Linked DNA regions of Arabidopsis thaliana. The protein of the gene in region 1 binds, or shares a complex with, the protein of each later gene. Each region holds a gene or a part of one and is shown in the gene's direction. Other genes may lie near its edges.

What was found.
Region 2: AT5G46520 (region 1) and TBP1 share a complex: the UniProt entries of both Arabidopsis thaliana proteins name them as parts of the nuclear protein complex.
Region 3: AT5G46520 (region 1) and PAD4 share a complex: the UniProt entries of both Arabidopsis thaliana proteins name them as parts of the nuclear protein complex.

What each region holds. Positions count from the first base shown.
Region 1 is NC_003076.8:18,862,692-18,874,267, forward strand, and holds AT5G46520 (Disease resistance protein (TIR-NBS-LRR class) family), read left to right. Parts: upstream 1-4,924; 5' UTR 4,925-5,034; coding exon 5,035-5,606; intron 5,607-5,695; coding exon 5,696-6,818; intron 6,819-6,932; coding exon 6,933-7,232; intron 7,233-7,331; coding exon 7,332-7,742; intron 7,743-7,988; coding exon 7,989-9,185; intron 9,186-9,267; coding exon 9,268-9,285; 3' UTR 9,286-9,777; downstream 9,778-11,576. Other genes in the region: AT5G46510 (Disease resistance protein (TIR-NBS-LRR class) family), read left to right, coding at 1-356, 603-2,226, 2,371-2,519. UniProt on the Arabidopsis thaliana protein: Disease resistance protein of the TIR-NB-LRR-type. Part of the RPS6 locus that contains a cluster of several paralogous disease resistance (R) genes.
Region 2 is NC_003074.8:4,376,133-4,385,118, forward strand, and holds TBP1 (TATA binding protein 1), read left to right. Parts: upstream 1-3,660; 5' UTR 3,661-3,921; intron 3,922-4,180; 5' UTR 4,181-4,184; coding exon 4,185-4,261; intron 4,262-4,353; coding exon 4,354-4,441; intron 4,442-4,669; coding exon 4,670-4,741; intron 4,742-4,839; coding exon 4,840-4,890; intron 4,891-5,023; coding exon 5,024-5,068; intron 5,069-5,156; coding exon 5,157-5,249; intron 5,250-5,354; coding exon 5,355-5,456; coding exon of another isoform or gene 5,457-5,519; exon of another isoform or gene 5,520-5,562; coding exon 5,563-5,636; intron 5,637-5,736; coding exon 5,737-5,737; 3' UTR 5,738-6,092; downstream 6,093-8,986. Other genes in the region: AT3G13437 (uncharacterized protein), read left to right, coding at 216-357, 445-560; AT3G13440 (S-adenosyl-L-methionine-dependent methyltransferases superfamily protein), read left to right, coding at 2,206-2,282, 2,456-3,215; DIN4 (Transketolase family protein), read right to left, coding at 6,208-6,243, 6,327-6,413, 6,506-6,583, 6,661-6,756, 6,826-6,912, 6,989-7,057, 7,132-7,221, 7,304-7,401 and 4 more. UniProt on the Arabidopsis thaliana protein: General transcription factor that functions at the core of the DNA-binding multiprotein factor TFIID.
Region 3 is NC_003074.8:19,426,723-19,436,639, forward strand, and holds PAD4 (alpha/beta-Hydrolases superfamily protein), read left to right. Parts: upstream 1-4,372; 5' UTR 4,373-4,843; coding exon 4,844-5,134; intron 5,135-6,235; coding exon 6,236-7,570; 3' UTR 7,571-7,728; downstream 7,729-9,917. Other genes in the region: SYP122 (syntaxin of plants 122), read right to left, coding at 1-310; OEP7 (outer envelope membrane protein 7), read left to right, coding at 3,053-3,247; AT3G52440 (Dof-type zinc finger DNA-binding family protein), read left to right, coding at 8,668-9,468.

The sequences.
Region 1 (11,576 bases):
TCCCAGATCTTTCAAAGGCCACTAACATTGAGAAACTTGACTTTGGACATTGCTGGAGTTTGGTGGAGCTTCCTTCCTCTATACGAAATCTCAATAAACTGTTGGAATTGAATATGGAATACTGCGGTGAATTGGAGACTCTTCCTACGGGTTTCAACCTCAAATCCCTGGACTACCTCAATTTCAATGAATGCTGGAAGTTGAGGACTTTTCCTGAATTCGCAACCAACATCTCAAATCTCATTCTGGCAGAAACATCTATTGAAGAATACCCTTCCAATTTGTATTTCAAGAATGTCCGTGAGCTAAGCATGGGGAAAGCGGATAGTGATGAGAATAAATGCCAAGGAGTGAAGGTATATGTAGTTCTCTCCAATATCATGAGAATCCATTATATGTTTTTCTTTTCAAAGTGTAAAGGTAAATCTTGCATTGAGTATTACCAAGTCAATCAACAAACAAAGAATGCAAAATGACAAATGCAAATTTGTTTCGTAATGGAATTTGTTTTAGCTTAGATTAATTAATTGAAAAGTCCCAAACTGTAAATTGTATTATTGGTGATTTTTGTTTAACATCTCTAAATTGTTTATTTGGTTCAGCCCTTCATGCCGATGCTGTCTCCCACTTTGACCCTCTTGGAGCTCTGGAATATCCCAAATTTAGTAGAGCTTTCGTCCTCATTTCAGAATCTCAATAACCTTGAGAGGTTGGACATTTGTTACTGCAGAAATCTGGAGTCTCTACCCACCGGAATCAACCTCGAATCTCTCGTTTCCCTTAATCTCTTTGGATGCTCACGGTTGAAGCGCTTTCCTGATATCTCAACCAACATCAAATATCTCGATCTAGACCAAACTGGGATTGAAGAGGTTCCTTGGCAGATCGAGAACTTCTTTAACCTCACTAAGCTAACTATGAAAGGTTGCCGCGAGCTAAAATGTGTATCCCTAAACATTTTTAAACTCAAACATCTTGGGGAAGTTAGCTTTTCCAATTGCGGGGCATTGACCAGAGTTGATTTGAGTTGCTATCCAAGTGGGGTGGAGATGATGAAGGCAGACAATGCTGACATAGTTTCTGAGGAGACCACCTCTTCTCTTCCTGATAGTTGCGTCCTCAATGTCAATTTCATGGATTGCGTCAATCTGGATCGAGAACCTGTCCTTCACCAACAGTCGATTATTTTCAACTCCATGATATTGCCAGGTGAAGAAGTGCCATCATATTTCACTTACCGAACATCTGACTCTCAACCATTTGGAACGTCTTCCTCTCTGCCCATCCCTCTACTTCCCACACAACTCTCTCAACCATTCTTCAGATTTAGGGTTTGTGCAGTGGTAAGTGCTTCCAATGGAGTATATATCGGGGTATATAGTCGGTTCAAAGGCAGAATTGGGAACAAATTTGATTCCTTTGGTGAGCTACATAAATTCATGGAAATTGAGAAGGGTATTCATCTGTGTATATTTGACTGTCGTATCCGTCTATACAAAGATAATGTTCCTCTATCTCAACTGAACTATGATCATGTGGATATAAATATTCATATAACTAGTGGAGATTGGAGATCTACGGTCGTTTTAAAAGAATGGGGTATACGACTCTTAGAGGACTGTTCATCAGCGGAGAACCGACTTGGTAATCCAAACAGTACTCTTCCACATGTTTGTGTAGAGGATGAAGAAAATTTGGTTAATGGGACTGAACAAGGTGATAGAGGTGATGTAGTGACGGAGACAAGCAGTAAACAGAATGAAGACGTTATCCTTCTGCAACGATCAGCTGATTCCATGTTCTCTAGGATGTCAGGAAAAGAAATGATTTCATATTTCACTCATCGCACTACTGGAACCTCTCTAACCAACATACCTCTACCTCACACCTCTCCCTCGCAACCGTTCTTCAGATTTAAAGCTTTCGCAGTGGTTGGTTGCAAATCTTCTGGTCAGTTTTCATATTTTGTCACCCATATTTCTTGTCGATTCAAAGATGGATTTGAGAATCAACCACGTAGGCTTTATAAAGCTGAGAATGGTAACCACCTTGACATATATGAGTGCTCTTTCCCTCTATACCAAGGTAATGCTTCTCCAGCTGAAATGAACTATGATCGCGTGGATATACAGCTTCATTTAAGGTATAGAAGTGACTCTACGGTCAGATTAATAGTATGGGGTATACGCCTCATCGAGGACTGTTCATCATCCGAGAACCAACTTGGTTATCTAAATACTCTGTAGCATGTTCGTGAAGACAGTGAAACGGTGAGAGTGCCAAAAGTTCCAAGAGGCTCAAGACATTGAGATAGGCTATGAGACTGATCAGAGTGAAGAGCGTGGATACAGAGTGATGATATTGGTATAGACAGTGAGACTGATCAGTTTGAAGAGTGTGGAAATAGTGATATAGGCCATGAGATTGATCAGAGTGAAGAATGTGAAGACATGGACGATACTGGTGGTATATGCATTGGGATTGATCAGAGTGAAGAGCGAGGAGACAGTGATGAATAGTGATAGTGGCAGTGAGACTGATCACTTTGAAGAGTGCGAAGATAGTGATATAGGCAATGAGATTGATCAGAGTGACTAATGAGATTGAATACAATGAAGAGAGTAGAGACAGAGAGAACCAGTACACAATGGCAGGTAAGTATTAATCAAGAACTGAACAGAATAACAGATATCTCGCCGTCAGGATCTTTAATATTATAAATCACTGAGTTGTTTTCTTTTGCTTGCAGATTATGTGAAAAAGAAATGAATCTTTGAGATACTTTTGTGGTGATGGAATGAGTAGTTTTGCTGCCGGTTCTATGGAACAACAAGAAGAGCCCAAGATTCCTCATTGTCTCCCTAGCTAGACAGACATTTTCAGGTGACCCAAAAAAACTCATAAACCATTTCATTTTAGTTCCACATCAATTGTAAATACAGAGCATATATATAGTAGCATGCTTTTGAATTTCTGATTGTCTGGTTATAGACTTTTTATTATATAGATATTTGGCTGTATTCAATTGATAAATTTCACAGCCATCAATGTTGTTCACTGCTTGGTTAAAGACTTTGATATTATCTATTATGGGATAATTAGATACATGTGTGCTAGTATTATGAGGCATATATTTCAAAAAAAAGTCGTGATGTAGTTACAAAAATTGATGGAATTCAAGCCACTGGTTTTTAATTAGATTATAAAGCTGAAGGAATGGAATTGTCTCAAATGGCAGATGAAGATGGTACTGTTCATGTCAATGTTTTATAATTTTTTGTTTTTTTTCTTAGGTTGCACGTTTGTGATAAGCTTATTTCATTACTATAACGATTTAATTTCTGAAGAACTATTTGTGTTATTTGTGTTCACAAGAATTTGCTGTCTGGAACAAAGTTTTACAGTGTACCTGAATTGAGTTTTCTTTTATTCGTTTTCGGATTTCACTCTCCACTAGTTGAAAAAGGTCTGAGGCTTTCTAGATTGTTTCAAACTTCGTTAGGAACATGAAAATTTGCATCTAGACAATGCCCTGTGGTATCTGGTAATCAAAATTCTGTTTCTGGTTACTTCGTTTTTACATGGGCAGAAAGTGAATCTCCTACAGGTCTTGCGACACAGTTAGCTTTTGATTTGATAAGCTTACTGTTACTTTAACCCTGTTGACATTTCTCACCTATGTCATTCGTTTGAAAGCTTGTTTTGATTCTCTAATGATATGCTTAACTTTCATTCTCTGATGATTCTTTTGTCTTGCAATTGTTATTGTTCAGGAAAGCTGGAGGAAGTCACTTTGATGACCAATGTTGGTTACGGATCTGACAAGATATTAATGTAAGAATAAGAGGCTATGGACATGGTTTTTACTTGAGTGGTGGCGATTAAGTCCAAATCTAAAAGAGATGATTAAGTCAAGATCCAGCAGAAAAGAGGAAACTTTCGTTAAGGTGTATGACAACAGTGGTGCAATTGCTAATGTTTGTGAATTGGTCTTTTTTCTTATTAGGGATATATAATGAAGCAAGCATGATTGAAGAAATCGCCAAGTCTTAATCGGCTCACGTTAGGTGGTGGAAAGACGACGCATTGCAAAAGTTTTGCAGGCTGACGAAAAAAGAGGAGAATGGAGATCAATTGGAAGAGGTTCTTCTTATTTGATTGGTTAATTTTTCTTTTCTTTCTATATTTAGATATACATGGTGACACCCATTATTGTCCAATTTGTCCCTTTTTTCTGTTTCTTTTGAGACCATGTCTATATATGAGAATTGAGAATCTTACAATTAAATATTTTGAACTAATAAGTCTTTTATTTTGTTTCCAACTCATGTGTTTAACTAAGTCCTAAGCTAACACTAGATTTTTTTTAAAAGAAATTTGGTTTTCCTCCACAGTATTTTTATTGTTTTTTGTGGACTTGACCACAAAACTTCAAAAGACTCGGAAGAAAATTAAACAAATATTATGCACAATTTCGCACCACTCAATGCCTTGCCTCCCCTACCTAAAATGTTGACAATGTCGTCTTATTCTTTATGTCAAGCACGATGATGTGTCTGACTTTAAGTAATTTACATTTTTTAAAAATTCGTGATAGATATTCTCCCAAATTCTTTCAAATATCATAGGCTTTAAGATGTTACCAACTACCAAGTCTCCTAAAAAGACCAAAAAGTCTCCTTAGATATTTATCAAACTCTTTGATGTTTTGTTGCTCGTTCCTTCGTTCACAGTTTCCTGATTTAACAGTGGCCAGTAGGATAATGATTACGTTGCTTCACTTTTCACTGTTACTGTGGAATTGCTTGGTAATTTCGAAAACTTGTATCCTTATTAAGAATTTGTAAAAAGTTTTGCAACTTCGTATTGTACATCTTTATTAAGAATTTGTAAATGAATGATATACAGTAGTAAAGACAAGAGGCTATGAAATATGGTTATGACGATTGAGTCAACAAAGAGGAAACTTCCGCCAAGTAAAAGTCTAAGAAATAATTGTGAAAACTTGTATGGCCAAGTTACCTCTCAGCTGTTATGTTAAATGTTTTATATCCACCAAGACAGACTCACTACTTGTCCTCTATTTCTCTTCTTAAAATCTCAATCTCCAAAGTCTTCGTTTCTAGTTTCCTCCTTCTAACTCTCTCTATGGCTTCTTCATCTTCTTCTCGCAATTGGGTTTATGATGTTTTCTTGAGCTTCAGTGGGAAAGACGTCCGCGTAACATTCCGTAGCCACTTTCTCAAAGAGCTTGATCGGAAACTGATCTCTGCTTTCAGAGACAATGAGATCGAGAGAAGCCACTCTCTTTGGCCCGATCTTGAACAAGCGATCAAGGACTCCAGAATCGCAGTGGTCGTTTTCTCCAAAAACTACGCTTCGTCGAGCTGGTGTCTTAACGAGTTGCTGGAGATTGTGAACTGCAATGATAAAATTATCATACCGGTTTTCTACGGTGTGGATCCTTCCCAAGTGAGGTATCAAATCGGTGAATTTGGAAGTATCTTTGAAAAGACTTGCAAGAGACAAACAGAGGAAGTGAAAAATCAATGGAAGAAAGCGTTGACTGATGTAGCTAATATGCTTGGATTTGATTCTGCCAAATGGTATGATTTTTATACCAAATTCATTATTAGATACATCTTGAAATAAAATTGTTGTTTCATATTTCTTAAATTATCTTTCACCTTATTAGGGATGACGAAGCAAAAATGATTGAAGAAATAGCCAATGATGTTTTGGCTAAACTGCTTTTAACTTCATCCACGGATTCTGCTGAGAACTCTATTGGCATTGAAGATCATATTGCAAATATGAGTGTATTGTTGAAATTGGAAGCTGAGGAAGTGAGAATGGTTGGTATATGGGGTTCCTCGGGGATTGGTAAGACTACCATTGCAAGAGCTCTGTTTAACCAACTTTCTCGGCATTTCCCAGTTAGCAAATTCATAGACAGAGCTTTTGTATATAAGAGTAGAGAAACTTACAAGGGCGCCAATCCGGACGACCCGAACATGAAGTTGCACTTGCAAGGATGTTTCCTATCGGAAATTTTGGGGAAAAAAGACATAAAGATTGATCATTTAGGTGCACTGGGAGAGAGGCTAAAGCACCAGAAAACTCTCATCATCATTGATGATTTGGATGATCTAGTGGTACTAGATTCATTGGTGGGTAAAACTAATTGGTTTGGATGTGGGAGCAGGATCATAGTGATTACCAATAATAAGCAATTCTTAAGGGCCCATGGAATTGATCATATTTACGAAGTTAGTCTCCCTTCTAAAGAGCGCGCTCAAGAGATGTTTTGTCAGTCTGCTTTCGGGGAAAACTCTCCACCTGAAGGTTTTGAGGAGCTCGTAGTTGAAATTGCATGGCTTGCTGGTAGTCTTCCTTTGGGTCTTACTGTTTTTGGTTCAGCTCTACGAGGGAGAAAAAAGGAGTACTGGGTGAAGATGTTGCCAAGGCTTCAAAATGATCTAGATGGCAATATTGAGGAGACATTGAAAGTCAGCTATGATGCGATAGGCAACGTAAAAGATCAAGCGTTATTCCGTCTTATCGCATGTCTTTTCAATCACGTCAAAGTCAGAGACATTGAATTGTTGCTCGCAGATAGTGGCTTAGATGTAAATATTGCACTGGAAAACCTAGTTGATAAGTCCCTTATTCATGTCAGAAATGATCATGTGGAGATGCACCGTTTGCTACAAGAAACGGGTAGAAATATTGTACGCTCACAGTCCACTGACAACCCAGGAGAACGAGAATTTCTGGTGGATTCAAACGATAGTCGTACTGTACTCAGTGAAGGCATTGTAAGTCTTTTTTTTAGTTGTGCTACTTTCAGTATACGAGGTTAAGAAAGTGCCATTTGATGAATCATGAATTGTATGGTTTTGTCTCTATCTCACTAATATCATATTTTTCAGGGTACTCGAAAGGTGCTAGGAATATCATTGGATACAAGTAAGGTTAGTGAGTTTTGTGTACATGAGAATGCCTTCAAAGGGATGGGTAATCTCCTTTTCTTGGATATTTCCTCGAAGACTTTTATAGAAGAAGAAGTCAAAGTGCATTTACCGGAAAAAATAAACTATTATTCCGTTCAACCCAAACAATTGATTTGGGATAGATTTCCACTGAAATGTATGCCTTATACTTTTCTTCGAAACCTCGTCAAGCTCGAAATGCATGACAGCAAGCTAGAGAAGCTGTGGGAAGGAGCTATGGTAAGGTTTAAGAATAAATTGTTAATGCTAATTGTAGTTTTTAAATGACGTGATGTGTAATTTCAACTGAGCTCTGCGTTTATTTTTGTCTGAGTACAGTCATTTACATGTCTAAAGGAATTGGATATGTGGGCATCTAAATACCTGAAAGAAATCCCAGATCTTTCAAAGGCCACTAACATTGAGAAACTTGACTTTGGACATTGCTGGAGTTTGGTGGAGCTTCCTTCCTCTATACGAAATCTCAATAAACTGTTGGAATTGAATATGGAATACTGCGGTGAATTGGAGACTCTTCCTACGGGTTTCAACCTCAAATCCCTGGACTACCTCAATTTCAATGAATGCTGGAAGTTGAGGACTTTTCCTGAATTCGCAACCAACATCTCAAATCTCATTCTGGCAGAAACATCTATTGAAGAATACCCTTCCAATTTGTATTTCAAGAATGTCCGTGAGCTAAGCATGGGGAAAGCGGATAGTGATGAGAATAAATGCCAAGGAGTGAAGGTATATGTAGTTCTCTCCAATATCATGAGAATCCATTATATGTTTTTCTTTTCAAAGTGTAAAGGTAAATCTTGCATTGAGTATTACCAAGTCAATCAACAAACAAAGAATGCAAAATGACAAATGCAAATTTGTTTCGTAATGGAATTTGTTTTAGCTTAGATTAATTAATTGAAAAGTCCCAAACTGTAAATTGTATTATTGGTGATTTTTGTTTAACATCTCTAAATTGTTTATTTGGTTCAGCCCTTCATGCCGATGCTGTCTCCCACTTTGACCCTCTTGGAGCTCTGGAATATCCCAAATTTAGTAGAGCTTTCGTCCTCATTTCAGAATCTCAATAACCTTGAGAGGTTGGACATTTGTTACTGCAGAAATCTGGAGTCTCTACCCACCGGAATCAACCTCGAATCTCTCGTTTCCCTTAATCTCTTTGGATGCTCACGGTTGAAGCGCTTTCCTGATATCTCAACCAACATCAAATATCTCGATCTAGACCAAACTGGGATTGAAGAGGTTCCTTGGCAGATCGAGAACTTCTTTAACCTCACTAAGCTAACTATGAAAGGTTGCCGCGAGCTAAAATGTGTATCCCTAAACATTTTTAAACTCAAACATCTTGGGGAAGTTAGCTTTTCCAATTGCGGGGCATTGACCAGAGTTGATTTGAGTTGCTATCCAAGTGGGGTGGAGATGATGAAGGCAGACAATGCTGACATAGTTTCTGAGGAGACCACCTCTTCTCTTCCTGATAGTTGCGTCCTCAATGTCAATTTCATGGATTGCGTCAATCTGGATCGAGAACCTGTCCTTCACCAACAGTCGATTATTTTCAACTCCATGATATTGCCAGGTGAAGAAGTGCCATCATATTTCACTTACCGAACATCTGACTCTCAACCATTTGGAACGTCTTCCTCTCTGCCCATCCCTCTACTTCCCACACAACTCTCTCAACCATTCTTCAGATTTAGGGTTTGTGCAGTGGTAAGTGCTTCCAATGGAGTATATATCGGGGTATATAGTCGGTTCAAAGGCAGAATTGGGAACAAATTTGATTCCTTTGGTGAGGTACATAATTTCATGGAAATTGAGAAGGGTATTCATCTGTGTATATTTGACTGTCGTATCCGTCTATACAAAGATAATGTTCCTCTATCTCAACTGAACTATGATCATGTGGATATAAATATTCATATAACTAGTGGAGATTGGAGATCTACGGTCGTTTTAAAAGAATGGGGTATACGACTCTTAGAGACCGGTTCATCAGCAGAGAACCGACTTGGTAATCCAAACAGTACTCTTCCACATGTTTCTCAAGCCGAAGAAGGCAATATGGGGTATTATACACATGTTCAAGGACTTGTTAATGAGATTGAAAATAGTGAAGACTCTGGAGATAACAATGTAGAGACTGAGAGAAGCAAGAAGCGCATGCGGGTAAGCATTAAGCATTAATTAAACATAATGACTATTCATCTCTCATTCTTTTTGTATGATTGACGACTGGATTCTTTTGCAGCTACACCACTTCATATGAGTAATATTAAACGGATGGGGTATACGACACTTAGAGGACTGTCATCATCGAAGAACCGACATGGTAATCCAAACACTATGCAGCATGTTTGTGAGGCCGATGAAGACAATGATGGATGCCATTAGACTGATCAGAGCGAAGAGCGAGGATAAGAATAGTGATATAGGCAGGGAGACTGATCATTTTCAAGAGTGCGAAGACAGTAATATAAGCAATGAGAGTAATCAGAGTGAAGAGCGTGGGGATAGTGACGATGATGGTATAGGCAATGTGACTGAACACTTTGAAGAGTGCGAAGTTACTTTTGAATTTCTGATTATCTGGTTATAGACTTTTTATTCAGTTGATCAATTTCACAGCCATCAATGTTGTTCACTGTTTGGTTAAAGACTTTGATATTATATAAATTGTGGGATAATTAGATTGTTAGTATTATTTCAAAAACAAGTCATGATGGAATTCAAGCCATTGGTTTTTAATTACAATAAGCTGAATGAACATAATTTTCTCAAATGGCAGATGAAGATGTTGATGTTCATGTGAATGTTTTAAAATGTTTTGTTTCTTTTCTGTGGTTGCACGTTTGTGATAAGCTTATTTCATTACTATCACGATTCCTTTAATTTCTGTCAGGCACAAAGTTTTAAAGTGGACCTGAATTAAGTTTTTGATGTATAATAGTTCTCTTTTGTTTATGGAGAGACAACGAACGACTGACTTGCTTTGTAGCCACACCTGCAAAGTTTTTAGGCATCTTTCAAAGTCCATAAACCAACTTAGTCTAGTTCCGAATAATCTTTAACACAAAGCGTCACAATTGTTTCAAATGCAAGTCGTGTTGTGGATACAAAAAAACTGATGGAATTCACGCAAATGGTTTTAACAAAATGAAGATTTCTCAAAATTGGCAGATGGAATTCATTTATTTGTTTTCAAGTACTCTGTTTCTTTCTTAGCTTGCACATTTGTTTTGAGCTTATGTCATTACTATTACAATTTAATTTCTGAATCCTCACATTATACTTATTTTCTTGTTTCTTACAGTTTGAGGATTATTTCTCCATAAATCCTTTCCTAACTCGAGCAAGGATCACCTCAACTACGGTGTGGAGAATTATGAGCTCACATCTTCACAAGAATTTTGTAAATAAATTTAAGGGACAAAGTGTCAATAAAATTGTTCTCAAAAATTTGTTGTCTGAGATTGGATGAAATCTGTTGTTTGAAACTCTTTTGGCTCTGGATTCTCCTCTATAGCTGAAGTCAACTACGGTCATGTTGATATACAACTTTCATCTAACAGATACTTCATATTAAAAGGATTTGGTATAAGATTCTCTGAACATGGTAATGTAGAGGGATAATTAGTTGGTCCATAAAATATTTTTGCTTGTGGCAACCAAATCCCTAGGGACGGCTCTGGCTATATGGCTTTGTAGCTATGTAAGAAATGATATCGCATAATTTTCAATTTTGCTTCCAATCTGATTATGCATATAGAGACGAAGCTGCAACTATGTAACATATTAAGGCCAAGACCCAAGAGTGAATAAACCATATTCTGTTGTTACTTTCCTATGTGATATCAAAATGAGTAATGGAGTTTCTATAATTTGATTGTTGAACTTTTAAAATCTGTCTTTTAGAGTCATGTCCAGAATATTTGTATCAGTTCTACTTCTTGTATACTACGCAAAATTGTAGCCTGTAACACAAGAAACAAGAAACAGAGTAAGAAAAAAAGGGGTACCTTCTTCAACACGCTTCCATTGGAACAGTTAACAAGCCTACAGAAGAAGAAGATGAAGACGAAGATGAAGACGAAGATAAAGACGAAGCATAAATGATGGAATAAGTAGCCAAAGTTTTATGTTTTATGTAAACAGTAAGCCTAACACATTCAATAGAACATTTTGACTTTCCCGGAGAAGCATATATCATACTATAGGATTTTAATTATGTTTGTATTTGGAAATTTATCAAAGATGTTTCATCATATGATTAAAGTGTGAGTGGAGGAGAATGGACCACAATCCACGAAGATAATTATATTAACTCCAATCCCTTTTCTTCCAAGCAATTTCTTCTCTCTTTTAGCTACAGCAATCCAAAAACACACGTATGATATTATCAAAACTACGACTACCATCCTGCTCTAGTTAAAAATATTATGCATAAATTCAAAAAGTATTGTTACGGATAATAAATATTAATCCTATGAGAAAGTAATATTCTTTTGCTTTTTCAGAATTTAGATGGTTGCTTTCCAAGAAACATATTTTGTTTTGTCA
Region 2 (8,986 bases), on another chromosome or scaffold:
TTTCATTTTCTCACCAAAATGATGATATGATTAACATTGGACTTTTCAACAAATGCAAAAATAAGGAAAAAAAGACAAGACTTAGAAAGTCAATATGTTTTCATTGCATGCATTGACGTATACATATCAGTATCACACCAACTGTAATGAGAACGACCCTGATATATATAATCTCTGCCTAACAGTCTAACACTAGCTAATTTATAGTTTATAAGATGTTATATACATATATACCCGGGAAGAAAGAGGAAGAAAGAAAAATGAGTCTCAAGTTCATTCTTATAGCTTTGCTTCTACTTTTATGCATCACATTTTCCAATTCGACCGTCGTTCCTTTTTCCAAAAACCGGAAAATTAGTAAGTCTTCATAACTGCATAAGTGCAAATATTGTTATTATATGGTGTTAAAATGAGGTTTGTAATATAGTTTTAACGTGTAACAAGCCAATGAAGAAGAAGAAGAAGAAGGTAGAGAGATTGACATTCACAAAGGAAAGAAGATCACCGTAAAAGTCAGCCGTTCGCCTCCTGCAAAAGGCTGGATTTGTTGCAATGATTAACTAAAAGGAGCTATGTGAACATTTTCATAAGATCCCATCCTTCAATTTCTATGAAGATAATATCGACCAAGATCAAACTTCAAAGCTTGAAATTAGAAACGTGTATTTGCTATATCTCAACCACTAATTTAAGGGGCTTTCGGCCCATTACACGCATGGGAAGATTCAATTATGTTGATTTTGTAAGTTTTGGGGCTAAAGTGTAAATTATTGAAACTTGTAGGCTTGATTTCATTATTCCAAGTTTCCACTTTTTCTCCTCCGCCGTAGCCGGTGCTTCTTCTTCGTGAAAATCTTTCGTCTGAGATTTTTTCTTTACTAGTTGAATAAAATTGAAGATTTCGAAGACTACCCAAAACCGCGTTTTACAAAAAGCCAGATTCTTTTTTTTTTTTTTTTTTTTTATAATTTCATTAAAACTACCCAATGGGCTTGGGCCGAAACTTACAAACAATTCGGTCCAGTTACAAAATTAGGGTTTTCTGACACATCGCCAGGAAAAAGAAAAAAGCTCGCCGCCTGTTGACCGTCGCTAGCAGAGCGACCAAAACCTAGATCCGGCGGACTCAAGTCCCACAGCTTTGTGGCCGCCTCCGAGAATCGTCCACCACCGACGAAAGATTCCGGTTTTCGTCTGTAGAGACTCAACTCCAACGCACCAACCCACCACAAGACTCCCGGAAAGCTAGCCGCTCCGACGTAGCGGTTCCACGGAACCGGATCCCGACCTAGCAACCCGAAACACTCAGCGATAACACTTCTCTCCCATCACCGGAAAATAGCAAAGACCCAGAGCCAAACACACGTCGATCCGGACCGGTGGAGACCAAAAACGGCAGACCTAAAGACTGGTGGCTCAGTCAGACTCTCTAGATCCAAAACCCGCTGCAGCCATCTAAGATCCAAACAGATCTACTGTTAACCACCGCATCAGACAACGAACCCCCCCTTACCCCTCTCCAACTTCCGCCGTGGACGCAGCGACTAGAATCACGGGTGAGCCTGAGAACCTCGCAGCAACCCTCAGCGTCCATAACCAAGAGACCCCCGCCGCAACCTTCTCGACCGACAAAACCAGAGCCAAATCCACATCAGAGAGAGAGCTCCACACCACACGTTGACGGAGACAAGCATCGGCTCACTCCTGGACTTCCTTGAAGAGGCTTCAAACCGACGATGAAGAGCAGATCGGAACAAAAAGAAAAAGGAAACTAAATCTACTTACCGGAAATTGTCTTCAAGAGAGAGAGAAGGGCACGACTTTCAAGGCTACGATTGAGCCTCCATCTCATAAAGCCAGATTCTTTATCTTCCATAATCGTATTAAAGCTACGAAAACCTCGATTTCGTGTTCAAAACTTGGATTTGCTCGCTATCGAAAGGTCTGACCTTTAATCCTTTTCATGGGTTTAATCGTTCAGATATGATTTCTCGTATCGGTATTATAGCTTAGAGGAAAAGTGTCGTAGTTTTGGCAGATGAAATTAAAATTGGCTCTGTATTCCCAAATAGTTGAAACCCATTTGATGAAGCTATCTTATCAGACTTTTACGCATAAGTTTTCTTGTGGTCTTGGATCGTGTCTAGTGGCAATTATCTTCTCTGAGTTCTTTTGCTTAGTTTGATTGTCTGTTGTTTTAGACGAATGGCTGACCAAGGATTAGAAGAGAGTAATCCAATGGACCTTAGCAAACATCCTTCAGGGATTGTTCCTACTCCTCAGTGAGTTCTTTTGTGCCTTTGTCTTTATTTTAGTCTCTTAAGAGTTAGTGTTTGTTTGATGTCTATGGTGAACTTTAGACTGCAAGCTTGTTTATATTTGAAATATGGAATACACCTTCTCAAAGTTAAAACCTTCTAACTTGTAATGGTGTGGTTTTTGTTTGTTTGTTTAGTAGTCAAGTCATTTACAAGATGCCACCAAGAATTGCTGCTATCCGTCTTGTAAGCTCGCATCGTGAGGTCTATGAACCATGTGATGATTCATTTGCGCTAGTTGATGCATTACTCGCTGATCGCACCAACCTTATAGAGCACAACCCTAAGATTTGTATGGAGATTGGATGCGGAAGCGGATATGTCATAACTTCACTTATACTTCTTCTTCAAAACGAAGTTCCTGGTGTTCATTATCTCGCCATTGACACTAACCCGATAGCTACAAGAGTGACAAAAGAAACTCTAGAAGCACATGGAGTTAATGCTGATGTTATCTGCGCAGATTTAGCTACTGGTCTAGAGAAGAGACTTGCTGGCTCAGTCGACGTGATTGTGGTGAATCCGCCTTATGTGCCAACACCTGAATATGAAGTTGGAATGGAAGGTATTGCCTCTGCTTGGGCAGGAGGGGAAAATGGCCGGACAGTCATCGATAAAATCTTGCCTGTGGTTGATCTTTTGCTATCAGAGAAAGGATGGTTCTACTTAGTGACATTAACTTCAAATTTCCCAGCAGAGATTTGTCTGATGATGAGAAAGAAAGGTTATGCTTCGAGAATCGTAGTTCAGAGATCAACAGAAGAGGAGAATCTCGTTATCCTAAAGTTCTGGAGAGACAAGGATGAGGAGAGCCAGGACAAAGAGACATCATCATCATCGTTTGTTTCGCAGTTTTCGAAATCCTTATCTTCGCTTATGGAGAAACAATGGCGCTGATACTACAAAGATGGCTAGAGATCTCATAAGCATGCTTTGTTTAACCAAGAATTCTCTAGTGTTTTAATTTTTATGAAAATCATGTTTTGTGTTGGTGGTGTAGTCGTAACAGTGATTTGATTTAGTGGGGTTATTGGTTAGTGGATTTTAACTGATGTGAAATTTTGATTTTCAATTCCACATTATGTGATTTGAAAAAATCAATGAAAAATTATAAATTTCTACTTGAAAAAAAATGTTCACTAAATCGCTAAATATGCAAAAATATAATAGCGTTATAACACTAAAGCTGACGTGGCCGAAAAGGAGTGGACTTTCACATAAAACCGAAAGACAGCCGTCATCGTAGCATTACCGCATAAATTTCCAAAATTACCCTCGATGTAACAAGGACGGTCAAGGGTAGCATGGGTATGTATATATAGGTATAAAGGGGCTTAAGGATCCCAAATCCGAAACGCAAGTCGATGACCTCCTCTCTCTCACAGATCTAAAAACCAGAAGCGAGAGAAACAAATTCACTCTCCCCTTATATAAGCACCGATTTATAAATCTTTTTCCCTCTTCGATTCTCAATTCTTTGTATAAAAGGCTTCTCCTTTTCTCAATTCTTCGGCTTCCTTTCGCCCAAACTCTTCCCTCGAATCTTTCCTTCTCGTCTTAAAGCTACGAAACCCTAGATTTCGGATTTCTTCGCTATCCAAAGGTCTGACCTTTAATCCTTTTCCTGAGTTTTTTCGATTAGATCTTATGAGTTTCATCACCTTAAGAGGATAAGTCTCGTTGTTTTGGAAGATGAAATCTAAAATTGGCTCTGTATTCTCAAATAATTGAAACCCTTTTGAATGATAAGTCTATCTGATAAGACTTTTAAGCATATTGTCTTGGATCGTGTCTAGTGTCTATTATATTTTCTGGCTATTGCTTATTTTGATTGTGTTGATTTTGGTTTTGTGTAACTATAGAAGAATGACTGATCAAGGATTGGAAGGGAGTAATCCAGTTGATCTTAGCAAGCATCCTTCAGGGATTGTTCCTACTCTTCAGTGAGTTCTTTTGTGCCTTCGTATTTGTTTTTTGTCTCTTGGGATTAAGTGTTTGTTTGACCCCTGTTGACATCTTTGATGTTTTGTTTCAGAAACATTGTCTCCACGGTGAACTTAGACTGCAAGCTAGATCTTAAAGCCATAGCTTTGCAGGCTCGGAATGCTGAATATAATCCCAAGGTATTTGCATTATATTGTGACTTTTTGTTTTAATAAACGGTAGAAAAGTTGTTTGGAAGAGTACTCTCTCCTTGAGTTGACCTTATTGTTACCTGAGATCTGATTGGTCTATATACTGTGTACTGATTAATTAGAATCTAAGATATTATCTGTTTTTGGCTTTTGCTAAACTAATTTGCCTTAGCTAAGCTCGTCTTATGTAATACCTCTTGTGTTTTATGTTTCCAGCGTTTTGCTGCGGTGATAATGAGGATCAGAGAACCGAAGACTACAGCATTAATATTCGCCTCAGGGAAAATGGTATAGTTATTTTGGTTGGCAATACTTTTTCATAATTCTGAAATTTAATTACATTGGTTTGAATTCTCTTCTGAATTTGGCGACTAATCTCCAATTAGGTCTGTACTGGAGCTAAGAGCGAGGACTTTTCGAAGATGGCTGCTAGAAAGGTAGATTTTTTTTATCTTTAACCTCTTTAATTTAACTTTCTTATAGATCTGTTCTTCTTTACTTTAGCAATAATTGCAGTATGCTATTTGCTCCTCATTTGTTTATGCTAATAGGAGATGTTTTATTGTTTAGTATGCTAGGATTGTGCAGAAATTGGGATTCCCTGCAAAATTCAAGGTACAATTTCTTTAAACCTTTTCCCTATCCAACATTTTTTTTCTTACTTTTGCTTATACTAAATATATTCAATTGTTACATCCTGCAGGATTTCAAGATTCAGAATATTGTAGGTTCTTGTGATGTCAAATTCCCTATAAGACTTGAAGGTCTTGCTTACTCTCACGCTGCTTTCTCAAGTGTGAGTGATCTTAACTTATACATTTAGTAGTCAAGGACCGACTTTTAGAGATAAAAACGTTGTGCTGATGGCCATTACCTCTCTCTCATATTGGCGTGTGGTTAGTATGAGCCCGAGCTCTTCCCAGGGCTGATTTATAGGATGAAAGTCCCAAAAATCGTCCTTCTAATCTTTGTCTCTGGGAAGATCGTAATAACAGGAGCCAAGGTAATATCTCACTTCTCTTTAGGTTTTGTGATAATACTTGTTATGTCTCTCTCTAGTCTCTAGCTCTTCTGTCACCTGAAAAAATCCTGAGATCACTCATTATCAGATGAGAGATGAGACCTACAAAGCCTTTGAGAATATATACCCCGTGCTCTCGGAATTCAGAAAGATACAGCAATAGTATGTAACACACCCGTCAACTTTCCTCATCTTTCTTAGTAATGTTTGATTTCTCGATTTATTCGTGCATGAACCTAATTGTTGTGTTTATCTTTTATAGGGTCACGGATTTGTTCCCTGCAAAACTAGTTGTGCGGTCTTAGCCCCTTGGAGTTGCTAAAGCTTGCTGAGAATTTTGCCCTTGAACAAAGGCTTTCACAGTAGCTAGACTCTCACCTTGTGTTTTGGTTCATAATATAACATTGTATATACACAATGGAGATTCTAAAGACAATTCTTCGGTTCTATTTTTTTTCTTTTTCTTTCCAAGATATGTCTTACATGTATGTTGCTGTAGTGTCCTCACATTTCCACTTATGTTACAAGTAGAACCTTAACTCAGTGTGTAGCCCTAAAGTCTTGTTTATCATAGAGATTGGCCAAGATTGTGAACAAAGATGGAGAGTTTCAAGATCATAGATTAAATAACAAAAGTGGTGATTACAGTATCCATTACATGTCTGAACCACCAGCATCAATAATTATTTCGAAGATAGGAGACAGAGAATCATGTGTACAATGCTAAGATGGGCTAGTAATTCACAGTGGATCTGATTGCATCCAATATCTGCATCAAATTGTGAGCCAGGGAAGAATTAGCAACAAAAACGAAAATATATGTATAAGATACAGACCAGAAACAAAACTTGCCTTGTTCTTGGTTGGCATGTAGAAAGGTTCGAACACTAGAGGGAAAGGAGTGTCCAGGCCACAAACTCTGCTTACAGGTGCTTCTAACTGCAAAAGTAACCAGACATGTAAGCAAATATGAAAACCAGACATTGTTACCAAAAATTATAATGCTGTAGACAAATATGACTTGTTTTTACCCTCAAGAAGCAACGCTCAACTATAGTTGCAGCGATCTCGGCCCCAAAGCCTCCTGTAACAGGAGCTTCATGGCTAATCTGCAACCGAAGTAAGCAAACACATTTATTCTCTGAGACTTAGGACAATGATACTCACTCAGAGAAGCTTAACTTACAAGAAGTCTGCCAGTCTTTCTCACTGAGGTCTCAACGATTTCCTTATCCCAAGGGATCAGAGTCTTGAGATCTATCAATTCACACGATATTCCTTCCTGCAAAAACATTTTGTTTCATCATCTGTATCGCCAAAGACTAATTAAGTGCAAAACATAAAAACTAACGTTTTCTGCGTCAAGACATGCTTGTTCCATGATAGTGAGCTGTGCTCCCCATCCAACAAGAGTTATGTCGGAACCTTCTCGCATAACCTGTGACAAAAAGTTTTCATTTATTAGTCTTAGAAGTGTACTAAAAGAAGAGACACTAGAAATGGAACCTATATACCTCTGCCTCAGATAAAGGTATCATATAGTCATCTTCAGGGACATCCTCTACCGCTTGACGATATAGCCACTGAAGAAGAAGAACAAAGGATCAAAGACTCTTTTACAGGTTCTTGAAGTTGAAAATAACTCAAGAAGTAGTACCTTTGGTTCGAAAAAGACAACGGGATTCGGATCACGGATGGATGACAATAATAATCCCTTAGCTTCCCGTGGACTTCGAGGAATAACAACCTACCCAAAACATGCAATTTTCATATACACCTAAGAATATGAAGCAAATAGAGAAAGAAGAAGCTTTAGTAAGAAGATGTACTTTGATACCAGGGACATGACAAAAGAAAGCTTCAGGGGACTGCGAGTGGTAATGTCCACCGTGACCAACTGCTCCGTACGGTGCCCTAATAGTGAGTCCTACAATTGTCACATAAACCCCAATGAGTAAAAACTTGGTGTCTCATAACCAAGAAGGCACAAGAAGATATGAGTTTACCTCCACAGTTAAACTGGTTTCCACTTCGGTATCTGAACTTTGCAGCCTCATTAACAATCTACGAAATCACAAAACTCCATAAAGAGAACTCATGCGTCATCATAACTTGGTTTAAAGGTAAAGGTAGCATTTTTACCTGATCAAAAGCCGGGAAAATATAATCCGCAAACTGAATTTCCGCAATAACTCGATTTCCCTGCAAGCGAATAAGTAACCAGTAAGATGATGTGATAGCAATGAGAGGTAAACAGAAGAAACAAAAGAAGAGAAGAAGTGACCATTGCAGCTAAACCAATGCCAAAGCCAACAATGCCTTGCTCGCAGAGAGGAGTGTTGAAAACTCGAGATTTCCCAAAACGTTCAGCTAATCCTGTTGTACATCGGAAGACACCACCAAATCCAACATCTTCCCCAAAAACATAAGACCTTCACTCAAGTGACTCCAAATACATTATAAAAACCAATTCAAATGTACCTTAGACTTTAGGATTGAAAAATGCGAGAAAAGCTCACCGAGGATCGGTCTCTAAAGCGATGTGAAGAGCTTGATTAATAGCAGAGTATAGATTCATCGATTTACCACTTTCAGATACATTTTCAACCGTCGATAGCATCCTATATCCATGACCAGAGACCGGAAAAGATGATCCCCGGCAGAATCTGCGTACAAGAGCTGCCGCCATTTACGCAAAATTTAGACGCTTTCCACCAACGAATCAATCTGAAAACTACAGAGGTTTAGCTTAAAGTTCCTCAAGTTTCTTCTGGAGAAGATCACACAAATTTGATACTTTTGGATGAAACCAAAACAGACATGAAAGTACTATCTTTTGTCACGGAGTTTCCGAGATAAAGCGTTGGAGAAGCTATCTAGCCACGTCAGATCAGACAACAAGTACTTATTTGATCAGCTTCATTTATTATTGGGATTTTAACCACATCAGCAATTTCGGCAAGATAGATCAAAACGACACATCATACATTGGAATGGTGAAATGGAGAGCTGACTAAAGTTAGGTTCTCTCGGCTTCTTTGACAATTATTGGTGACAGCAACAAAATTATGAGATCAAGGTCGTTTTGTTTTGTTACACGAAAAAAATCAACAATACTTATCTCCTTGCTTTGAAAATCTTAAAACATGGATTGATTCAGATAACTTTGGAGAATGACAGAAACAAGACGAGAGAGGCAAAAGACCATCTCAAATTCTAAACGACTCAAGAGAGTCAAGTCTGAAACCAAAGCAAGAAACCAAAAGAAAAGAAAACTCTGCCTAAAAATCCAACAGACATGAAAAAACAAAATCCCACCCTGCTTTTATCTCCTTTTCTCTAATTCTTCCCACGATTTAGTAGGTCCTATGCGCATTTTTACAGGGTAGGAACAACAGAAAATGAAAAAGAAACCCAACATAAACTTGTAACGAGACTGCGATTTTGAAGAAAAGGAAAAATGAAAACAAGAAAAGATTGAAAAAAAAATAACTGGGATTTAAACTTCTAAG
Region 3 (9,917 bases), on another chromosome or scaffold:
AGCGCCTCGCCGTCTTAAGCGCAGCAGTGACGTCAGCGTCCATCTTCTTCTTCAGCTCCTTCACCGCGTTAGCGTTATGAAGCGTCTTGCTCTGTTCGTTGCTCGATCGGAGGTTGTGACAGAGACGATCTAGCTCTTTAAGGTCTTCGTTTACAACCTCCACGTCGAGGAAGAACGTGTCTAGGTTGTTACCACCGTGGCAACTTCCGCCGGAGACTTTCGCTTTTGACATCTCGATGTTGTGTGAGTGCGGCGGCGATGAACCGTCCGCGACGGAGGTTTTAAACGAGCCGGAGAGAAGATCGTTCATGGCTTAAGAGATCTTCGATTTTGAAAGTTGAAAGGAATTGAGAAAAGTAAAATCTTTTGATCAAAATCTGTTTGTTACAATTGTATTTATATTGACGAGTCAAATATGGAGAAAAAGAAAAGGAAAGTTTTAAACATTAGAACTGAAAATAAAAAAGGAAAAGTCTGATTAAAACGCGGTTTTGAAATTAAAGGATGCTTCGTTTGTTGTCAATGAAGTAGTATCTACCTAACCGGGTTTTTTAGTGAGTGAACCGAAACACGTTTGTCAATAAATCCGTTTAACCAAAACAACTTTGTTGGGTTAACTAAACCACGTCAAGTACCAGATTTTATGTGTGCTGACTCGGTCAAAATTTCATGATCTAGTCTAACAATAAAATAGAATTTCTAGATGATTGTTTGAACCGGTCGGTTTGATGAAGTTAATTGAATTGCTGAAGGGAAACCAGACCAGAATTTCCAAGAAAGAGTGGATAAGGCTAGGATGAATGTGATGTATTGATATTTTAGGCAAAGTGGAAGATTTTAGAATTCATAGTCGCCGGAGACAATTAACACGAAGGTTTGAATTCGTCGCTGTCCATTTCGAATATTTTAATGCTAAGTTTTTTGTGGTGAAATTGATATATAATAATCTTTTGTCCAACCATTAGTTTTTTTTTGTTTCTTCTCCAATTTGTCTTTGAAATAATAGTTTTGGGATTGGACAAAATAAAAAGTAATAGGTAAAACTGAACCAAAACAAACCTGTTTATATCGAAATTGAATCAAATTTCTTTTATTGGGTCAACCACCTTGTATTATGCAAATTGAAACTCTAATGGTGACGTACGACAACACTAAGACCATGTTATCCGGCATGTCCTGGTCTAAAGTTTAATATTAAACCGAGTAGTTAATTTTAGAACTAAAATATGTTCAACTTGGTTATTATTAAGATAAAAAAATTTATTATATAAAATTTAGTTTTTAAAAATAGTAGAGGCTAGAGACACATATTTAGAGGTGTCAAAATGGGTAACCCAACTCAACCCAACTCATAATCAAATGAGTTTAGAGTTAAATGAGTTATGTGTTAACTCAACTCATTTTGTTAAATGGGTTGGGTCAACTCATAACTCATTTAATTTGATGGGTTGAGTTGTTAAATGGGTTAACCCATTTAATTAATAATTTACTTAATTACTATTATAAAATAATAATAAATAATTATCATTATTAATTCATTATCATCAAACTTAGGATATTTACGGATTCTACTTTTTATGGGTTTACGTTTTTTATGGGAAAATCTTGGGTTTACGTTTTTGGTGGGAAAATCACGGGTTTACGTTTTTGGTGGGAAAATCACGGGTTTACGTTTTTGGTGGGAAAATCACGGGTTTACGTTTTTGGTGGAAAAATTACGAGTTTACGTTTTTTGGCGAGAAAATTACGAGTTTACGTTTTTAGCGTCAAAATTACGAGTTTACGTTTTTGGCGGGAAAACCACGGGTTTATGTTTTTGGCGGAAAAATCTCGGGTTTACGTTTTTGGCGGGAAAATCACGGGTTTACGTTTTTGGTGGGAAAATCACGGGTTTACGTTTTTGGAAAAAAATTATGGGTTTACGTTTTTGGCGGAAAAATTACGGGTTTCCGTTTTTGGCGGGAAATTATGGATTTACGTTTTTGGCGGGAAAATCTCTGGTTTACGTTTTTGGCGGAAAAATCAGGGGTTTACGTTTTTGGCGGAAAAATCACGGGTTTACGTTTTTGGCGAGAAAATCACGGATTTACGTTTTTGGCGGGAAAATCACGGGTTTATGTTTTTTGGTGGAAAATTTACGAGTTTACTTTTTCTCAATTTCATCGCATGTATATTTAAGAAATTTGGAAAAATATTAATTTTATTAAATTGGTTTAGATGTGTTGGTTAGACTTAAATTGACATTGATTTAGAAATTTTAGTTGGTTTAATTCAATTTTACAAAACTTGATGGGTTAATTGGGTAAACCATTGAAACCATTAATCATTACAACCCAACTCATTTTACTCATCAAACCAATTGACTCATCAACTCATTTGACCCATCAACTCATTTGAGTCAAAATTTTCAACTCATTAGGGTTTATGGGTTGAGTTGAGTTGACCAATAAATTTTGACCCATTGACACCCCTACACATATCAAATAATTTTAACCTATCTAAATTTTTTTTATAAAAATTACTAACTAACATGTCACGAGTTCACGACACATATCAATAAAAATATTAGATGTCTTCATGTATTAAGTCTAAATTTGTTAATACATTTACTGAGAAAATGAAAAAGTTAATAACTCTATATGAAAAAGGAGGTTATATATAAGTAAAAAAGAAATTTGATAATAAATTAAGAAAAAAAAAAACACAATTTGTAACTATATTAGAAAAAAGGTAAAAGTTCCTTATCCTAACAAAAAAGAAATTGTTGATATATTGAACTATTTATCTAATTCTATTGATTGTTTTTTTCCATATATATATTCCCAAGAAAATAAAATAGGGATCCTTTCAATTATATTTACAATTATATAAAAAGTTTGTATTAATTAACCAATAGACGGATAAAAAGTTGGGCCATAGTTTAACAAACAAACTATCTTTATCCAATGAGAAGCCCAAACCGGCCCATTTTAAACATCCTAGTAAAACCCATCTCCCGATCTTAAACCATCGGTTGATACCACCGACACGCGAACAAGACGACGACGCAGCGATGGGAAAAACTTCGGGAGCGAAACAGGCGACTGTGGTGGTCGCAGCGATGGCGTTAGGATGGTTAGCCATAGAGATCGCTTTCAAGCCTTTCCTCGATAAATTCCGCTCCTCAATCGACAAATCTGACCCAACCAAAGACCCCGATGACTTCGACACCGCCGCTACTGCAACCACATCCAAAGAGGGTTTGTAAAATTAGGGTTTTATCAGATTAAAGAGATTTACTGATTTCAATCCATTTCATGTAACTGATGAATCCATGTGTTCTTAATCATAACAGTTTGAGCAATTTCTTTTGAGTCATGATCGTTTATTTGTCATCAATTTTTGGAAAAGTCTGCTATATTGAATCTGTTATTGTAGTTCAATCGCATAACAGAATCATTAATCTAATCAATATTCATACATGATTTGTTACACCGTTTTTCGTATTTTGTATAAAGTTTCGAGCTGTATTATTAAGGTGGAAGAAGAGATTAGGAATCCGATAAGTACTTAAATTGTTTTAAGTTATGATTCGATTATACGTATCTCTTGAAAAGAAGCATGTTAGAGCAAAATATCAAACTTGACAATTACAAGATTGCTTTATAGATAAAGCAGATTAGCTAAATAAGTATAGGGAGACGATAACATGTGGTGATACAAAGATGTGTCAGATTGATTGTTTAACATCATTTAGTTGAGAAAACTTTGGACGACGACTGACTTCATCATATGAGAAAACACCAAGAAAATGTACTACTAGTCTCTAATGGAGAGACTTGGTTATAGAAGTTCATTGTTTAATTTGAATATTTACTCCAATTCAGGAAAATATCAAAACCAGAAAATTACATGAAAATTACTATAGATGGTAGCTTTGCAATGATTATTGTCCGGTTGGATAGTTTCATTGACATTTAGGATTCAGATTATCTCTTTTATCATTATCAGTTTGTTAAGGCAAGAGTTTTCTAATACATGCTTAAGTCCTAATCATCAGATATTTCTTCTTCAAACCTTTTTTGTTTTGTTTTGATAATTTGCCCCATTTTGTACTCTAGGTTTTTCCACAAAGATCCCAAACAGAGATTAAAAGATGACAATGGCATGGACCTTTCAATGCTTTGTTTTTTTGTTAAATTAGATATAAACCTTTCCAAACAGTAAATTATCAAATTCATTAACAAGTATCTATATCTCTCTAGTAGAGGTAGACCACAACTTAAAAATCTCCTCAAGTCATGGTGGGTCTAACTTGTAGGACTTATATGGGCCAAATTGTATAACTATATCATGTTAAGCTGAAACTGAAAGTAATTGGTTCCTTTTAAAAGCTTAGCCAAAAAAACTTCAAAATGTCTGAGTCAAATGTAGGTTGATTTCTCTGCAATTTCCATGAAAGATAGATAGATAAACTCTTACCAAAGTTTCTGCATATCAAAAGTTGTCAATTTATGCTCAAGTCTAAACCATTCCGATTACATAGGATCACATGCTTTGATTCGCATTTTCTTCTACTATATATTTACATATTTTTTTGTCCTCTACACACAATGATTAAAAAATGAGAATGGACCTACCTTTCACAGCATTTCTTTATTATTATTTTATAAAACCAGTACAATTTTACTAAATTATGATGTTAAAGTAAGAGACTTTGAAGAAGACGACTTAGCAAAGACCAAAACCAAGAAATTACATAGGAACAAGCCAAGAAGATACATAGATAATTTCTTTTTGCTTGTAATATATTTACAACTTCATAAACATCATCGTTCTGCAACTCTCTACTCGATATCCAATCATGGACGATTGTCGATTCGAGACGAGTGAGTTGCAAGCTTCGGTAATGATATCGACTCCTTTATTTACCGATTCTTGGAGTTCATGCAACACCGCAAATTGCAACGGGAGTATAAAGATCCATGACATCGCCGGGATTACATACGTTGCTATACCGGCGGTATCGATGATTCAGTTGGGGAATCTTGTGGGCTTGCCAGTCACCGGAGATGTTCTTTTCCCCGGCTTATCCTCCGATGAACCTCTACCTATGGTCGACGCTGCCATACTCAAACTCTTTCTTCAGTTAAAGGTTTGTTTTCTCTTCCTCTGTTTTTTTTTCTTTCTATTGGATGCAATTTAACCTATTTATTATCTTCAAGGCATGTGGATATTTGAATTTCAATTAATAATACCTCGAGAGAAAAATACAAAAATCATTAAATGCTAATATGGGAAATTATTTCACAAAGGATTTTAAAAAAAAACAAAATTCTATCATAAGTTTTATTCGTTTGGATTTGCGAAAACGAATTTTACCTATTAAAGTTACTATTTTTTTTACGTATTTTAGTACTTTTTAGTAGAACTGATGATCATTACTATTTTTTATTTAAATATCTCTGTCCTCTGAATTTTGATGAATTATAATCCAAATGGAGGTTTTTTTTGTCCTTTTAAAAGATTATTATAAACTATCACCACCACCTACCCCAATAGGCAATAGACAATAGATAATAAATAAAAATTATTTTCTTGTAAGAAATTCTAAAAAGATTCGTGGACACAATTATTCCAAATCCACCATTTGGAATATGTCATTGTCGCGACCTTTGGATATCATAAGCAAGTCAATTGAAAGTTTGGTTTGTATGCCATCACGTCCGTCCGCCCAAGTGATTTAAAAAATTTACTAATTAGTGAGTGAAACGTCATTGGTATTTTTGACACCAAAAAAAACAAAAAATGTTAATGGAATTGGTAGCTTTACGCTTTATGCTTTAACACACCTCGGCGAAGTTTATAAATGTGCGCTCAAAAAGTTTTTAACCCATGATTATTGTGTCACCATCATGTATTTTATTCCCTTTTTCGTCGAATACTTTTAGTTTTTGTTTTGTCTCTAAGGATATGAAAATCTTGAACAAAAACAAGTTCCTATTGGTTTTGATGAGTAGAAAAAACAAGAAGTGACCATTAATGTAGATATAAGTTGTAAAAATGGTAAGTCTAGAGAGGTGTCTTAACTGATTTTTATTCAAATTTGGTTAAACCAAGTAATTGGCAAATTTAGTCTCTAAATCAGTTTACATTATTAGAGGAAATTGTACACTCAGAAGGAAGGTAATCTATAATCAGTTTTGTTCTTGTTAGTCAACCAATTTACAGTAACGTCGACTGCATTAACGTGCAGATCAAGGAAGGATTGGAATTGGAATTGTTAGGTAAAAAGCTGGTGGTGATAACCGGCCATTCAACCGGCGGCGCATTGGCCGCTTTCACCGCACTTTGGCTTCTATCTCAATCTTCTCCGCCGTCATTCCGCGTCTTTTGTATCACCTTTGGCTCTCCTCTGCTCGGAAACCAATCTCTCTCCACCTCAATTTCACGATCACGTTTAGCACACAACTTCTGCCACGTGGTCTCCATCCACGACCTCGTTCCTAGAAGCAGCAATGAACAATTCTGGCCCTTTGGAACTTACTTGTTCTGTTCCGACAAAGGAGGTGTCTGTCTAGACAACGCTGGTTCTGTTCGTCTGATGTTTAATATCCTCAACACCACAGCAACTCAAAACACCGAGGAACATCAGAGGTACGGACACTATGTGTTCACACTTTCACACATGTTTCTTAAATCTAGAAGCTTTCTTGGTGGGAGTATCCCCGACAATAGCTACCAAGCTGGTGTTGCGTTAGCCGTTGAAGCTCTAGGTTTCTCTAACGATGACACAAGTGGCGTTTTAGTCAAAGAATGTATAGAAACAGCTACAAGAATTGTTCGGGCTCCTATTCTGAGGTCAGCTGAGTTAGCCAATGAGCTTGCTAGTGTCTTGCCAGCAAGACTCGAGATTCAATGGTACAAAGATCGTTGCGATGCATCAGAAGAGCAGCTAGGTTACTACGATTTCTTCAAACGATATTCGTTGAAGAGAGACTTTAAAGTGAACATGAGTCGCATAAGACTAGCTAAGTTTTGGGACACAGTGATTAAAATGGTGGAGACGAATGAGTTACCTTTTGATTTTCATTTAGGAAAGAAATGGATTTACGCATCTCAATTTTATCAACTCTTAGCCGAGCCACTCGACATTGCGAATTTCTACAAAAACAGAGATATAAAGACTGGCGGGCATTACTTGGAGGGGAATAGACCTAAAAGGTATGAGGTGATTGATAAATGGCAGAAAGGAGTTAAAGTGCCTGAGGAGTGTGTGAGAAGCAGATACGCGAGCACAACGCAAGATACTTGCTTTTGGGCTAAGCTTGAGCAAGCAAAAGAGTGGTTGGATGAGGCGAGAAAAGAGAGTAGTGATCCCCAGAGGAGATCTTTGTTACGGGAAAAGATTGTTCCATTCGAGAGTTATGCGAATACATTGGTGACGAAGAAGGAGGTTTCTTTGGATGTTAAAGCGAAGAACTCGAGTTATAGTGTGTGGGAGGCGAATCTGAAAGAGTTCAAGTGCAAAATGGGTTATGAAAATGAAATTGAGATGGTTGTTGATGAGAGTGACGCAATGGAGACTTAGTAGGACTAATAGCAAATCGAATGTTTGATATGCTATATAACAATCTGTATCATTGTTGTTCATCATGTTTATGCAAGACTTTCTGATGAATGTTACTATATATTCTAAAACAAAATTTATCGTCAATGTTCAACAAGTTTTGCAAGAGTTTCTTTTTTTGTGCAATGTGCAAAGAGTTTCTCATGTAGAGCTATTGCTCTCTTTTTTTTTTTTTTGGTGAGAAGTAAAGCTATTACTCTAAAACCAACATGTAGTGTGATGGTGATCTAATTTCAGGAATTTTAGAATACAAATATATAGAAAAACGTAAGACCTACTACATAGAATTCTTGGAGATTGCCAATATTTACATGATCCAAGAAGCTCTTTATCCCATTCAGATTTTCCTTTCCAATCCCCATTTTTCTGTGGGTTAATAAATCAAATAAATTCAAGTCAAATAAGTAGACAAATAGAGACAGTCCTTGTTCTTCAAAACTTGTGTCTTCTTGTTTCACCTTCTCGTTCTATAGTTTCTATTCACAGATCGTTACGCATACCTTACATACCATTTTCATACTATATACTATTATATAATTATGACTATCTATGATTCGTTATCTACAAGTTCTGATTCTTAACGACTCTGGCCAAATATTCATCGTCCTCTCGCGAATATAATGTGAATAGAAAATGTTGCAATATAGATAACTCATGGTTTAGTACTTATTGATATGAATATTTTACTTAATATGATTGTAAGTACATTCTATTAATTTTAAAAGACATATATTAATCGTGCAGCATCCATAAACTAAGCCGTACAAATAGCTCAATGTACACCCAATAACCCATCTCTCCAAAGAGGCCATAGGCTTCTTAGTTCCCTTCGAAACAATCTCCAAGACGATCTATTTTCTTATTCATATCTTATGATAAAAAAAACAAATACTAGTATTTAAATATCTATCAAAGATTCAAAACCCTTAACCCTGTCTCCCCCAAGAAGCAACAGTGAGTGCACCCTTACGAGGCATTTGCTCCCCCAAACTTCATCCACTCTCTAGCCTCCACGCGTCTCAAACTCTCCACATGCACAAACTCTCACCCACACATTCATGCATGCGTATATAATACATTCGTATTCCGATAGACTAAAGAAGAGCGAGAGAGATATGGAGAGAGCAGAGGCCTTGACATCATCGTTTATATGGCGGCCAAACGCAAACGCAAACGCGGAGATCACGCCGAGTTGTCCAAGATGTGGATCCTCTAACACAAAGTTCTGTTACTACAACAACTATAGCCTCACTCAGCCTCGCTACTTCTGCAAAGGCTGCCGCAGATATTGGACCAAAGGTGGTTCCCTCCGCAATGTTCCTGTAGGCGGTGGCTGTCGAAAATCCCGCCGCCCCAAATCATCTTCTGGTAACAATACTAAAACTAGCCTAACCGCTAATTCTGGCAACCCCGGTGGTGGTTCACCAAGCATCGATCTTGCTCTTGTTTACGCCAATTTCTTGAATCCAAAGCCTGACGAATCTATACTACAAGAAAATTGCGACTTAGCCACTACGGATTTTTTGGTAGATAATCCTACCGGCACTTCCATGGACCCTTCATGGAGTATGGACATCAATGATGGTCATCATGATCATTATATTAATCCGGTGGAACACATTGTGGAGGAATGTGGTTATAATGGCTTGCCTCCATTTCCTGGTGAAGAGCTTCTCTCTTTAGACACTAATGGTGTTTGGTCTGATGCTTTGTTGATTGGTCATAACCATGTAGACGTTGGCGTGACTCCGGTTCAGGCTGTACACGAACCGGTGGTTCATTTCGCTGACGAATCCAATGATTCCACCAATCTCTTGTTTGGAAGTTGGAGCCCTTTTGATTTCACTGCCGATGGATGATCCTTATATTTGCATATAAATTTATGAATTTGTGTTATTGTACCTATTATACAAAGAATGATATACACGATTATATGAAATTCTATAGATCATTTCATGTAATTAAGAAAGTCGATAAATTTTAAGTACAAATTTAAGGGGTAATAATATGTGTACTCTACAGATCATTATTTATTTTGGTTATTCAGTCGTTTTGAAGATTTCCTCAAGAATCCCACGTGGAGGTCCTTGTCTTTGGATTCGATTGAGATTTGCTTCGTTACTTGAACTTGTACAATTCAGAGAAAGTGAGACGCACGTGTATCACGGTTGCACGTGTGAGAGCCTGTTAGTATCTCTGGCCTGTGTAGATCCTTCTCCAAAAAGGGAGTGTCAGAGAAAGAGCATATTTGTTCCTACTTTTCTTTCAACTCCTTTCTACATGAAAAGAAAAAGAAAAATGTGATATA